Medicago truncatula: one gene and its partner. The protein of the gene in region 2 interacts with the protein of the main gene of each other region in a pairwise test. Links are inferred from orthologs where the notes say so. Each region holds a gene or a part of one and is shown on either strand. Other genes may lie near its edges.

The links.
Region 1: the proteins of transcription factor MYB61 (region 2) and polyubiquitin 9 interact in a two-hybrid assay, tested with the Arabidopsis thaliana proteins (2 studies listed by BioGRID). The link is inferred for Medicago truncatula from reciprocal best matches to the Arabidopsis thaliana genes MYB67 and AT5G57860.

The regions. Positions count from the first base shown.
Region 1 is NC_053043.1:20,250,043-20,257,100, forward strand, and holds the start of polyubiquitin 9, read right to left. Parts: upstream 3,031-7,058; 5' UTR 2,866-3,030; coding exon 2,863-2,865; intron 1,392-2,862; coding exon 1,206-1,391; intron 998-1,205; coding exon 958-997; intron 218-957; coding exon 135-217; 3' UTR 1-134.
Region 2 is NC_053043.1:32,722,129-32,728,671, forward strand, and holds transcription factor MYB61, read right to left. Parts: upstream 2,708-6,543; 5' UTR 2,681-2,707; coding exon 2,551-2,680; intron 1,891-2,550; coding exon 1,761-1,890; intron 1,396-1,760; coding exon 714-1,395; 3' UTR 623-713; downstream 1-622.

The DNA of each region.
Region 1 (7,058 bases), about 12 Mb from region 2:
AAACTATTTTGACAGCGTTGTGTAAGTCGTTATACAACGATGAACACAAAGTAGAGAGAATAACAGAAGGATGACCAACTAAATCAATGATCCAATGAACAACATACTAGTTTGGTGGAGTATGGCTTTACCAATTACCAACTGGCACCCTCTGCATCCCTCGTCTGATAGAAATCACTTGGTCGAACAATGTTGACCTCCTCAAACTCATTATCATCTGGAAGCAAAAGGAAAACATCTTTTCATTATGTTGTTTCTGAAAAAGATATGGCAGTACACTAACGGTGCATGTACATCAAAAACGATCCTCTAGAGGAAATGATGTTGTCAAAATGAAAGATATAAACAAGTAAATGCAGGTATGTAAGTGCTTGTAAATATCAGTTCCTAAAAGTTAAAGATATCAATATAACAGCCATCTAGAAGACCTTCATGAATTTCTCCAATTATCATTTTTTCAATGAATAAGTTATCACTTAAAAGTATTTAAGACGTTTTTAATTCCATGAAGAACATCGGTCCAATCCATCACCTAACAACTGCAGCTGAACAAAACATGTCATGTGTGCTTTTATAACAATAGACATCGTGTATATTGTCAAAAACAAATTTGTTTTAAAAGTTAACTTTTGGATTGAAAAGATTTGTTCAATAAATTTGTTTTATCTTGGCAACTTGGGTTTCCGTAACCTCACAGTAATGCCATACAATCTAAAGGCTAAAAATATTTAAGAATAAAGATAAACATGCTCAGATGATACAAAAGTGAACGAGTAAGCACTTTTCAGATGATACAAAAATGAACAAGGAAGCACTTTTTTTGTTCAAGTGAATAAACAGGGCTAGTTACCAATATCCCCCAATGTGAATAAACTACGTGTATTTGCCAAAACAAGTTAGAGCGTGTTTTATATCCCTAATATAAATTCATAAATTTCTAAGGCACCCCAAGTTTACCTTTCCTCAAGGTCAGTGCAACAACAGCATCTGTATCAATCTGAAATGTAAAAAAAACGGATATCTTTAGCATCTATAGCATGTATGTCATATGAGAAGCAATCAGAATTATTTCAGGCTAGTTAGAAACTAAGAATCAATGGAAAAAAACACAGATAGAATCAAAGCTGGATTTTTGCTAAATTCTAACATTTTAAAAAAGAAATATACACATAGTAAATGACATGAAAAGTTACGTAGTAGCGTACCTTTTGATCGGCCAGAGTCTTAGAGTCATCTAATACTTCCCCTGTACCAGGTAGAATCAACCGTTGGTCCTTAGCAGGTTTGTCAACAAGCTCTTGTAACTTCTCCTTTATGTCAAGAATTTTATCAGATGCCTTGCACCGGATGAAATATGTTGTCTTGTCACGCTTAATGCGAATGTACATATCCTGTCAAGCAATGATAGTTACGATTAAAGACCATCCCAAATTTTACAGGATGCATAACAGATACATAAAACTAAATTAGCTGCAAGGAAGAATTTCAATAGAAAATAAGGCTACAAACTCCATCTATATTATCGATAAAATTAGCATTCACATCTCATAGATTATTGACCACAGCCTCTTCAAAAAATAAAAATAGAACACCTTTCACTCACTCGCCACTGAAGCAGAACACTCATTATCTTTTGATTCTTTAAGGTTTTGGGAAAAGGTATTCTTCTGAATATTGAGCACAATGTAATGTTGTTCATCACATACGTTCATCCCATATTGCAATAAAGTTAATAAAGTTACCATTGTTCTTCAACCTTTCTTCCAACTAGACTATTTCAAAAGCATAAAGAATGCACTAGACACAACTTTTGCATACATTCATTAAACAAGTCTAAAACCAAGTTAAAAAGATTGGGACTTCAGCAATCTACCAAACCAAGGTTGTTGATCGCATGAAATAGTGATTCGTTCAAATTTTGCTATGCCTATAGCGCTATAGAACCTTATTTATAGCATCAGTATAATCCTCCTTTTGACAACAAACACTTTGTACTAAATTGCTTATCGCATAACATAATTGTTTCTTCAAATTCTGCTACGCTAGTAAATATTAATCTAACCCCTAATAACTAACATTTGTCATTCAAAAAATAAAAAATAAAAATTTAACTTTCAAATTTGTTCCGGTCTGGGCCAAGACCCAAACCTGGGGTAAGTCTGGACTTCCATCCTCATAGTTCCAGAAGCACCATGATATGGACACGTCCCTTGACCACACTGGAACAATGACCCCTTGGAACCATCTTCTAGGCCGTACGAGCCGGATCAAACAATATCTTCCTATGAAGCACAGACACTCTTCGGATAAGGCGTGTCCTCGTGTCAGACACGTGTTGTGTCCGACACCGACACATATAATTACACTGAATTATGTGATTTTCTAAAAAAATTAGTTGTGTCGGCGTGTCAGTGTCCATGTCGTGTCTGTGCCCGTATCCGTGCTTCATATCATCTCATGTTTTGCTGACAGCTGTCCCTCAAGGACAGAGGACAGCTGAACAGGTAAAGATTCAAGGACCAAAACCCTAAAACCTACACTATAAATACTAACCCAGGGGCATTGGTCGAGGTATGCGCGCACGGTGCGCACATATCACCTCACCATTCAAGAAAAGATTGTAATTCAACAACATCACACAGAGTTCTTAGTCCAGCATGATCAAAATTGAAACCATATTTTGCCTCAAAATAAAAATTGAAACCATATTTCATTGATAAATTGCGTGATCCTTTGAAAGTAAACCTAATTAACTAATACTGAGAGATAATGATAAACAAAATTAGTTTAATATGAATTGAATTTAAATAGTACGCATAAATGAAAACAAGGATTGAAGAGAGTGATAGAAAGAACACATACCATTTGTTATACCAACCAAATTCAAAGAGTTGTGCAATTTGCGTAATTGATTAATCAAAACCGAATTTCAATTCCAAAGAGAGGTAGGAACTCAAGTGCTGTTCTGTTCGGTGTGTGATTTCAAAGCACTGCGTTTCTCGCTCACAAAAGTACTATTGTTTTTATTTTTTTTATATATACAAACATATATGAGATTTGATATGATAATTAGATACATCAAAATTAGTGTTTTATAAACTTTAAAAAATAAATTTATTTTGATGTGTTTTTTTTTTTTTACAAAATATTTTGATGTATCTTATTAACCTATCAAATGAGGTGTGTGTTCACATATCCTTTCCCACCATGGGAAAGTTGGATTCAATGATTAGATTAAGTGAAGAATATATTCTTAACATGTTCTCTCAACATTAGATTTTTCTTCACACTATCTTCCAACAATTTAAAAATTCTGAAAATTAATTTTCAGAAATTAAAAAAAATATAAAAAAATTCAGATAATTTTTTGTTAAATTCTTCAATTCATTTATTGAATGTTAGAATTTTTTTTTTTGATTTTTTTTTGATTTCAATAAAAATAAAATTTTGGAAACTAAGATAAGTTTTTATTTTTCTAAAAAGAATATATTTTTTAATTTCATAATAAAATAAGATATTCTGAAAAATAAAATAAAAATATTTTGAAATTAAAGTTTTTTATTTTTCTAAGAAAATAAAATTCTCGAAAATAAGGTTTTTGAAATAAAATTCTGGAATTTTTTTTTTCAAAAAAAAATTCTAACATTCAAGAAATGAATTACATAATTTTAAAAAAAAATTATCTGAATTTTTTTCGATTTTTTTAATTTCTGAAAATTAATTTTCAGAATTTTTAAATTGTTGGAAGATAGTGTGAAGAAAAATTTAGTGTTGAGAGAGCATGTTAAGAATATGTTCTTCACTTAATCTAATCATTGAATCCAACTTTTCCATGGTGGGAAAGGATTAACCTTTCCCATGTGAAATGCCACCATCAAATGATTATTGATTAATATCAAATCATGTAGATGTGATATATGTTATAATATCTTTCAGTTTAATCTTCAATTTTTCCATACCTATAATATACACCTCCATGTTGAAGGGGCATTTTAGTAAGTTCACCTCACCACCTCTCTCTCTCACTCTCTCTCCCATTTTAAGATACACGTACCATTATTTGCTTGTTTGTGTATTTGATTTGGGATTAATGGATTTCTAGCTTAGAAGGGTATTTTAGTCATTTTAAGACTAAGGCATTTTGGTCATTTTGCGAGTGAGAGTAAATTAGTAAATTTGAGGATAGTTATTTTTACTAAGGAAAAAAAAAATGGTGTAGGCAGTCCATGATAAAATTAATTCTCCTCTTTAATCTAATGGTTGAAAAAAAAATTCCTATAGTGGAAAACAACTCTCCTTTTCCATACTAAATCCCACCATTTTTTTTATTCTTCATGGTCTATTATTAATAACAAAATGGATTTTTCCAATGTATAAAATAAAAATTTCAATGGCTTTTGTTGCTATAACCTTTCTGATGGGATAAAACCGCAAGTGTACGGTTCTACCGAAGTAGTAAAAATAACCACAACGAAAAAGGGGAAAACGGATTCAACGAAGACGACAAACACGAACACGAAACCAACATACCTGAAACGAATCGATTGTGTTAGATTTCAGTTTGGATGAGTTTGATTTGAATGGATGATGAAAAGGAACAAATGAAGATGGAACAATTCAGAAGAAAAGGGGGAAATGAGAAACCCTAGAATTTTCCCCCTAATTCTTCAATTATATATATTTTCAATTAATAAAAATTATTTGTTTTAATTTTTATTAAGTAAATATATTTTTTGCTTTTTAAAAATTGATTTTAAATGATTAAAATGAAATCAGTTTACACATGGCTGCCACATGAGCAAAATTGAACAGTCAGCAGGTGACACATATGCAAAAATCAGACACATAGACAAGAAAGTGGGGCCAAGGACCTTTTTAAAAAACAAAAAATTTTGCAGGGATTGATTTCGTTTTTTTTTTTTACCAGGGACTAAAACCCAAATTCGCTATATTTGCAGGAATCAAAAACCATATTTTAGCCTATTTTTTAACACACGTTTTCGTTTTCTTGTTTGAGAGGGGATTAGGAACTAGCGATACTCATAGATGAATGGAAGAAGGGGAAATTGTCTACTATTTAATTGGGTTGGTTCTTTTAACTTATTACTAATGTCATGGTATTAAATTTAAAAAAGAAGGTGAATAGACGAAGGAATAGGAAGAATGATGAAGGGAGGATGTTTTAGATGTGACCAAACTTAAAAAGGACTTATACGTGACTAAAGTAATTTAAACGATTAATATGTTATAAACCTCAAATTTAAAGAACTTATGTGTGATCAATATAATTTAAAAGACTTTACAAACCACAAACTTAAAGGACTTATGATATAATTTAACCTATTAGTTAACTCAAAAGGCCTTATGAAGCTAGCATTAAAGGAAGTACCAGCCAACCAAGGGTTCAGCCAAAAGAGAGTTTTGTCATTTAAAAAAACTCATTAACACAGTAAGATTAATCAAAACATTCTTATTTATTGGACTCTCTTATTTTACGTGTCTCTATCATATCGAAACCACTAAATAGACCTTAATTCAGCTGAATCATTTATTTTATTTATCTTTTGAATTTGAGATATATTTTAAACATTTAAAAATTTCAACTGACTCCTTAATATATATTTTTCAATATAGTTGATCGACCCATTTGTATTTTATAATATAATCCTTTAATATTTTACCAAAAGGTGTACCAATTTATCTCTTTTCTAACATAATTTAAAAATAACAACTCATAAATTAAAAAAATTAAAGGAAAAATTCAAAACTTTTTTTACGACAAGTTAATAAAAGCATCACTAATAGGGAGTCCTTTACTTAACAAGGACCTCAACATATTAAGGACCCTCATTGGAGGAAAAAGAAAAAATAGGTATCTATTAGTTATCGGCAACTATACATTGACTCTCTCTCCTCAACAATTAACGGGTCCCACAATCAAAAAATGAAAAAAAAAATCTGTATAAGTTGGTCACACCTTTCAAATTCATGTTATTTTAGCTATCTTTAATTTCTTTTTATTTTTTTTAAATGCACACATAAATGGTACAATACATATGCATATAGTGAGACCTATTTAAAAACTCTTAATTGGAGTCCCAATTAGTGTAATATCATTAGAGTCATTCAATCATCAATAAGTATTTATTTATTAAAAATTATAAATAAATTATGTGTACATATATAGTTCATTTAAGGAGTGCTTATTTATTCGTTTAGGACCTTTGTGATGCTCTAAACTATATTAGTAGTTGGAGCTTGTGCTCAAAATCTCTAGGGTCCGAGTTTCAACCAGTTTTTTTTTTTTTTTTTTGAGGGAAGTTTCAACCTTGTAAACAACTTAAATTTGAAACTTAAATAAAAATCTACAAGACCAATTTAAATTCAAAAAATAGAGTAAAAGTAAGAAATGTAATTTAACCAATTTTATTTATTTTTCCATTAGGAAAGAATTTTATGGAATTCCCCACACGTCATTCTATACTAACGCTTTCACGTAAATATATTGGATTATTTCTAAAAGAGAAAAATCATAATTTTTAATCAAAAACCTAATCTATTTGTTTTTTAGAAAAGTCTGGGTAATAGATTTAATCACTCATTTTTAACACACGTATTCGTTTTCTTGTTTGAAATGAAATTTGCACAAGTCTTTATTTTTTGGATAATTGATAAAAATGATTTTTTTTTGGATATAGTGGACAAAAGTGACTTGGAGATCACATTTTAGCAAGAAATCATTCAATCAAAATCCCTCTATATAAAATCAAGCATGCACTCATCGTCTTTGCCAACAGAAAGTGATACTAAAACCTTGTTGGCTTTGCACCATTTGAAAGGTACAAAGTGCTATTCCCTCTTCCATTCGATGCATGTTCCTCAACTTTTTTTTAAATCGTTCCATAACTCTGCATGGTTTTTTTAATGTTGCACTCATAACTTTTCTGTTTTTATCTTTGTTCGCAGCTCCATTGGATCGAAATCTAATCACCGACTTGAACAAGTTCCTTATACCTTCAGCATTATTCAATAGGTATACCTCTCTTTCTCTGGTTTAT
Region 2 (6,543 bases):
ATTAATCAAAGTCCATTAATTCCTTAATCATCAAGGTTTGTTATCTTTAAAATAAATTAGGGATTTTGCCTCAACAATAACTTTAATCAAAATCAAAATTATTTAATCAAAATTTCATGAAAACTAATGTTCGTAATTTATACGTATTAGTACAATAAAAAACGAACAGATGAGCACAGAGTGTCCGTCTTAAAGTCAGGTAAATATAAAGGAGGGGAAATGATAGAAAATAAGTACAATGTCTCCTAAAAGAAAAATATGAGTACATTTTATTTCGGATATCGTCAACAAAAAAAAAAGCCTTGGCTCAATGCTTTCAAAAAGAAATATTTTTTTTTGTTCTAATGACTCCAAGTTCTTTTCTTTAATTTGTCAAAAACAAATTCTTTTTTTATATACAAATTTTATTTTACTTCATCCAAGTAATGCTAGTTTAGGAGAAGTTACAATAATTTTCTTGAATGAATTAAACCAATATTAAGATTTCAATTTTTTTCTTATATTTCATTTTCAAGGGAGCTTGTCCTAAACCTAATACCTTCTAGAAGATGTTTATAAATTTGAAATGTAATATGTGTGTGTGTGTGTGTGTGTGTGTGTGTGTGTTTAGCACATCTTAATATTTAGGAAACTCACTGATAAATATACATTAATGATAGAAACCAAAAAGTTCACAAAAAAAATAAAAATAGAAACCAGAATTAGATCATGGCTTAAAAGTTCCATGCAAGTTGATCCATATAGTCTAGATCATGAGATATAAACTCAGAGTTAAGTACACTCTCCAACAACCCAAAATCAAAGTTAGAATTCTCAAAACAACCATTCATTTCAATATCTTCTTTCTCATTAACTTCTTTTTCATCCATTCCCTTCTCACAAATCTTCTCCTTTTCTTGCTCCACATGAGCTTGTGTTCCTTCTTCTAACATTGAACCTCTACAATCATCAACTCTTGAAACCCATATGCTATTCTCATTGCAGGAAGTAGAACAAATGTTTGATATGTTCTCAGTTAATATTCGAGGCAGTTCATGCTCGGGAACACTGAGTTGATTTGAAATTACATTGAAAGATGCTTGATATTGGTTAGGGGAAACACTTGTAGGAGTTTGAAGAATATTATTTTGTAGAGGTTTAGGTAGTGAAGGAAAGGTTTGATTTGTTGTTTCAATGAGATAATTAGTATTTGGTGGCATTTGTGAACTAAGAATGAAAATGGAATTGGAACTTTTATAATTTGAGTTGTTTCTCTTAGGATGAGAAGAAGAAAGTAAATTGTGAGTTTGTGGATCTAAGCCTTGAGAAATAAGCTTCTTTTTAATGCAAGAGTTCCAAAAATTCTTCACTTCATTATCAGTTCTACCAGGAAGGTGCTTTGCTATTTGGGCCCATCTGCAGCAGACAAATAATGCATGCATTCATGAATTTACAAGCACTCATATTATACTATTACAAATATTTTCCTCTCTCATCTTTTTGTACTTGTAACTATTATTAGGATAATATTTTATTTGATCTCTCATAATTTTCTCTGTGACCCAAAGTCTATGACAAAAATAATACCTAAATTGGTCCTTGATATTTTCATACAAACACAAATTAGTCGCTCTATTTTAATGAATTAATAGAAGAATTTGTTCCCTATAGAAAAATATCAAGGACTAATTTTAGAAATAATTTTTGTCTAAGACTGAATCGGGTCCCACCCAAATTTTGGGAAATCAAATTGGTTGTTCAGTTTTATTATTACACTTTACCTGTTTCCAAGAATTCTATGTATGTCAATTATGATCTGTTCTTCTTCAGCAGTGAAGGAGCCTCTTTTTAGATCTGGTCTCAAATAGTTTGTCCATCTTAATCTGCAACTCTTTCCACATCTTTGCAGGCCTGTATATAGCAAACCACACTAGCATCATATTTTGTTTGCTATACACACTAAGAAAACTAAAAGAAAAATGCCTATAAATTAATTTGAGGTTTGAAATCACAATTGCATATGATTCTTGATATTTCAAAGAATTACAGTCAAATGCAGCCTCAGTCATAACCACAAGCTGTTTGCATAAACAATAAAAATCATGACATCTCGGCCGACACATACGCAACACACAATTGTGATGCACAACTGTAATTATGGCCGCAATATAAAGCATTTTGAGGTTTCTGCAACTACAATATCAACCACATTTTTTTTTTTTGAAAAGGAGTCCTGGAGAAACAAAGAGTCAAAGTATGTTACACAAAAAAATCACTGCAAACGCAGCAATAGAAGAAAAACTTAGGAAACTGCATTTAAACACATCAAAGGATTCAATCTTCAAGTGTGGTAATCAAAATTAAACAAAACGTAACACGATTTTAACCACCAATACGTCTAACTCTTACCTTTACGAGTAAAGATGTGAGAAGATCAACCGCATTAAAAGTAGTTGTCCCGAGACAAATCATGGTTTCAACACACACATACTTATACTTATAAAAGTCTTCAAACACACTTTAAAACAAGCACAATAATAATTCACAAGTATAGAAGAAAGAAATGTATACCTGCAAATTTTGGAACAGAACTCCAGCTTTTATGTCCATGAGTAGTAATATATGTAATAAGCTTATCATCTTCTTCAGGAGACCATAATCCTCTTTTGATCTTCTGCTTGCTGCAACAATGATGGCCCATTTCTCCAAATAGCCTTATGAGAGAATTTAGAATATATGTTTTTTTGAGCACATCATTTAAATAGACACCTTAGAAATTGTAATGACAAGAAAGTCTATGGGTCCCACCTCCAAAATCTAGTGTCACACTCTACATATGTATTGGTGGGACCAGATTAAAAGACTAATTGACAAGTGCAAGAATCCTCTGATGAATGAATGAAATGATGAGCTTAATTTACTCTCACTATCAAATTCGTTTAGGAATTTAATCAAACATGAAAGGAGAAAAAAGAGTTGTCTTATTTTTTGACAAAAAAAGGTTTGTCTTGGAAAAGTGTTCAATGCATAATTTAGAAAATCTATGTTCATTCTTATAATCAATCAATGTAGTGTAACTTAATTGGGTTTTGACTCTTTCAAGGGACGTTGTCCCCTTTTAAGTTTTCTACTATTTGTTTTCCAGAGTATAGTCCATGGTGAAATTATTACTATGAGTCATTAAGCTTTTGCAACATTTCTCTTCGTAAAGTATAATGCCAACTAAGTTGAACATAAAATAAAGTATATAAGTTAAACTCTATTATTTTTTAACATAAGCAAATTTTTGTGATAAAGTCAGATATTAATTATTGAAGAGTAAATCATGTTTTACAATTACATAATTATTTTTTGATAAAATAAAAACAATAGAATGAATTTTATGGTTGGTGAGAAACATTTTATATTTTTATTTTCATATATTTTTCGTTTTAGATTTTAAAAAATGACACACTGTTTTACTTGATTTTTTATTTCCTATTTGCTTTCTGTTATATAGACTTGTGAAAAGTACTTTTGTTTACCATGTTTTCTTTATAGATCTTTTGAAATAAAAAAAGCGTGGCAATTTTATAATTTAAAGTAAAATATATATATATATATATATATATATATATATATATATATATATATATATATATATTATTTAACAAAACATGTTATATTATTTTTTTTGAAGGCATATTCTTATTTATTTGTCTTCTATACAAATAGTGAAAACAGAAAAATTAAAATGCGATGATAATATGTTGATTTTCTGTTGGTAAAAAAACATTTGTTAGTTTTCTAATTAAAAAGTAATAAAAAAAAGTATGTTATATCAAGCAAACATTTAACTACTTCTGCCTTTTTTTTTTTCCTTTTGCCCGGCTACTTGTCAATTGGTGTATGTAAAATTTTCGACCATCCTATAATTGGTCAAAAATGACATGCACATTGAAGAAACATAATCAATTTCATTAAAAAAAGGAGAAAGAAAGAAGGTCCTATTGGTTATCAATGCAAATCACGTTTGAGAAATGAGCTGGCCTTAAAACTTCATGTTCACTCATAATTTGGTGTCTTTATCTCAAAGGTCTAATTAATTTGGAGTGTCTTTGTGTCCATATTGAATTTCACTGTCTTGAAATTCACTATCATCTTTTGTTCCTAGGCAAAATCTAATAAAATCCACTACCATTGATTATACTCCAACACTACACAAGATTTACAGAAGTCTTCAAAATGAATTTACAATCATAAATCTTTAGTCACCATAACGGACACAATTGTACTTCAATAACAGGGGAAACACATATATGTATGTATATACTAAGACTTGCACGGTTAGACGTTGAAAATTCATGGTGTCCTTGACTCCTAGTATGTCCATTTTAGTAGGTTTATCAATTCTTCAAGAAAGTCTCTATGATTTCTAAGAATCGTCATACGGCCGCCTGTCAAATAAAAATAAATAAATTAGTATCACAAATGTTATATATATATATATGCTTTTGCTAGAAGACACCCTTTAGAGGTGTCTTTTAGCAAGCAACACCTCAAGGTGTGATTATCCACTTTTTAGTTATAACTTGCTAAAAGACACCTTCATAAAATGTGTCTTCTAGCAATATATATATATATATATATATATATATATATATATATATATATATATGCTTTGTGTTGAGACCATAGACTACTCGGTCTTGGTTAATGGAACATATGTAGGTCCTATTATGCCAGGACGTGGCCTTCGTCAGAGGGATCCCCTTTCACCCTATCTCTTCATTATTTGTGTTGAAGCTCTTTCTTCCTTAATTTGTAAGGTTGAGCGTCGAGATCAGAGGTACTATGATATGCACAAAGGCACTAAATATTCCTCACCTCTTTTTGCCGATGATTGTTTTCTTTTCTTTAAAGCTTGTGAAAAAGAAGCAATTGCTATGAAAAACATTTTGACTATTTATGAAGTGGCTTCGGGGCAAGCTATTAATTTACAAAAAATCATAATTGTTTAGTAGCCGTTATACTCCAGATGATCTCAAGAACCTCATTGTCACTACTCTTGGTTTCATCAAGTTTTAGGTGCCAATAAATATCTTGGGTTGCCCTCTATGATTGTGAGAAGTAAACCTGCAACTTTTAAGTTTATAAAGGATCACATATGGAGTAAAATAAATTCTTGAAGTACTAGGACGTGTCTCTCACAAGATGGAACTGAGATTCTTATTAAATCATTTTGCAGGCTATTCCTTCCTATGTGATGAGTGTTTTTCTCATTCTGGGTTCACTCACTAATGAATTTAAGAAAATGTCAAATTACTGGTGGGGTCATAATTCAGCAAATTCTCGCTTGCACTAGATATCTTAGGAAAGACTTTCCACTCCTAAGGTGTTTGGTGGAATGTGTTTTAAGAGTTTTAAGGCTTTTAATATGGCTATGGTTGGCAAGCAGGTTTGCAAGTTTGTTTCTAAATCAGAGTGTCTAATCACCCGTTTACTGAAAGCTAAATATTTTTCTCGAGGTGATTATTTTAGGACTGGTATAGGCCATAATCCTAGCTATGTTTGGTGTAGTATCTAGAGTGTGAAAGATATAATTCATCCATATCTTCAATGGAGCATAAAAAAAGGAGATCACATACCAGTCTGGGACCATCATTGCCTTAGTAACACAATGTGCATTTTGCCAACAACTCCTCAACAGTTGGAATGGCCATATATCACTATTGCAGACTTGATGGTTACACATCAAAATCAATGGAATATGGAGCTAATTAATGGCTTTTTTTACAACAACACAGCCAGAAGTATTTCTAATACTCCATTGTTGGCTTTGGAGCTTCATGATGTGCCTACTTGGGAACTTGAGAAGGACGGTGTTTATACAGATAGGAGTGTGTATAAGGGCATTATGAATCATGATGTGTTAGCTCTACAACATCGTGTGTCTGAGAATTGGAATTGTGTTTGGAAGCTCAAGCTGCCACCGAAGGTTAAAAATTTCTTGTGGAGTGCTTATCAAAATTGTTTGTCTGCGAGAGTTCTGTTGCAATCAAAAGTTTTTAAGTGTCCTGATTAGTGCGTGGTTTGTGAAGATAGAAATCATTTGTTTTTCATGTACAGTAAAAGTGTGCTTTGTTGGCAGCGCACAAGATTATGGAGTATTTTGATGGGTGTCTTCGATCCTACTACAAGTTTTGCAACAAATGTGTTTGTTATTTTACAACACCTAGATCCGAAGCAAAAACAAGTTTTTTGTTTGACCCTATGAAGTATCTGGAAGCATAGTAATAACAAGGTTTGGAACAACATCACTGAATCATCTTAAACTATTTGTGGTCGATCATGGTATTTTTCTACAAGCTGGATGAATGCCCAAACTTTTCAAAATCACACTTCTATGCACTCCACTAATCTTACTCATCTTGGAGATATGCAATGGCGAAAACCAAGTCCCGGTGGTCACAATGTAATTTAAATGCTTCCTTTTCCCATACTTTGAATCTGGTTGGCCTTGGCATGTGTATTCAAGATGATGAAGGTTGTTTTGTGGTGTAAACTGAATGTTTGATTCCACTT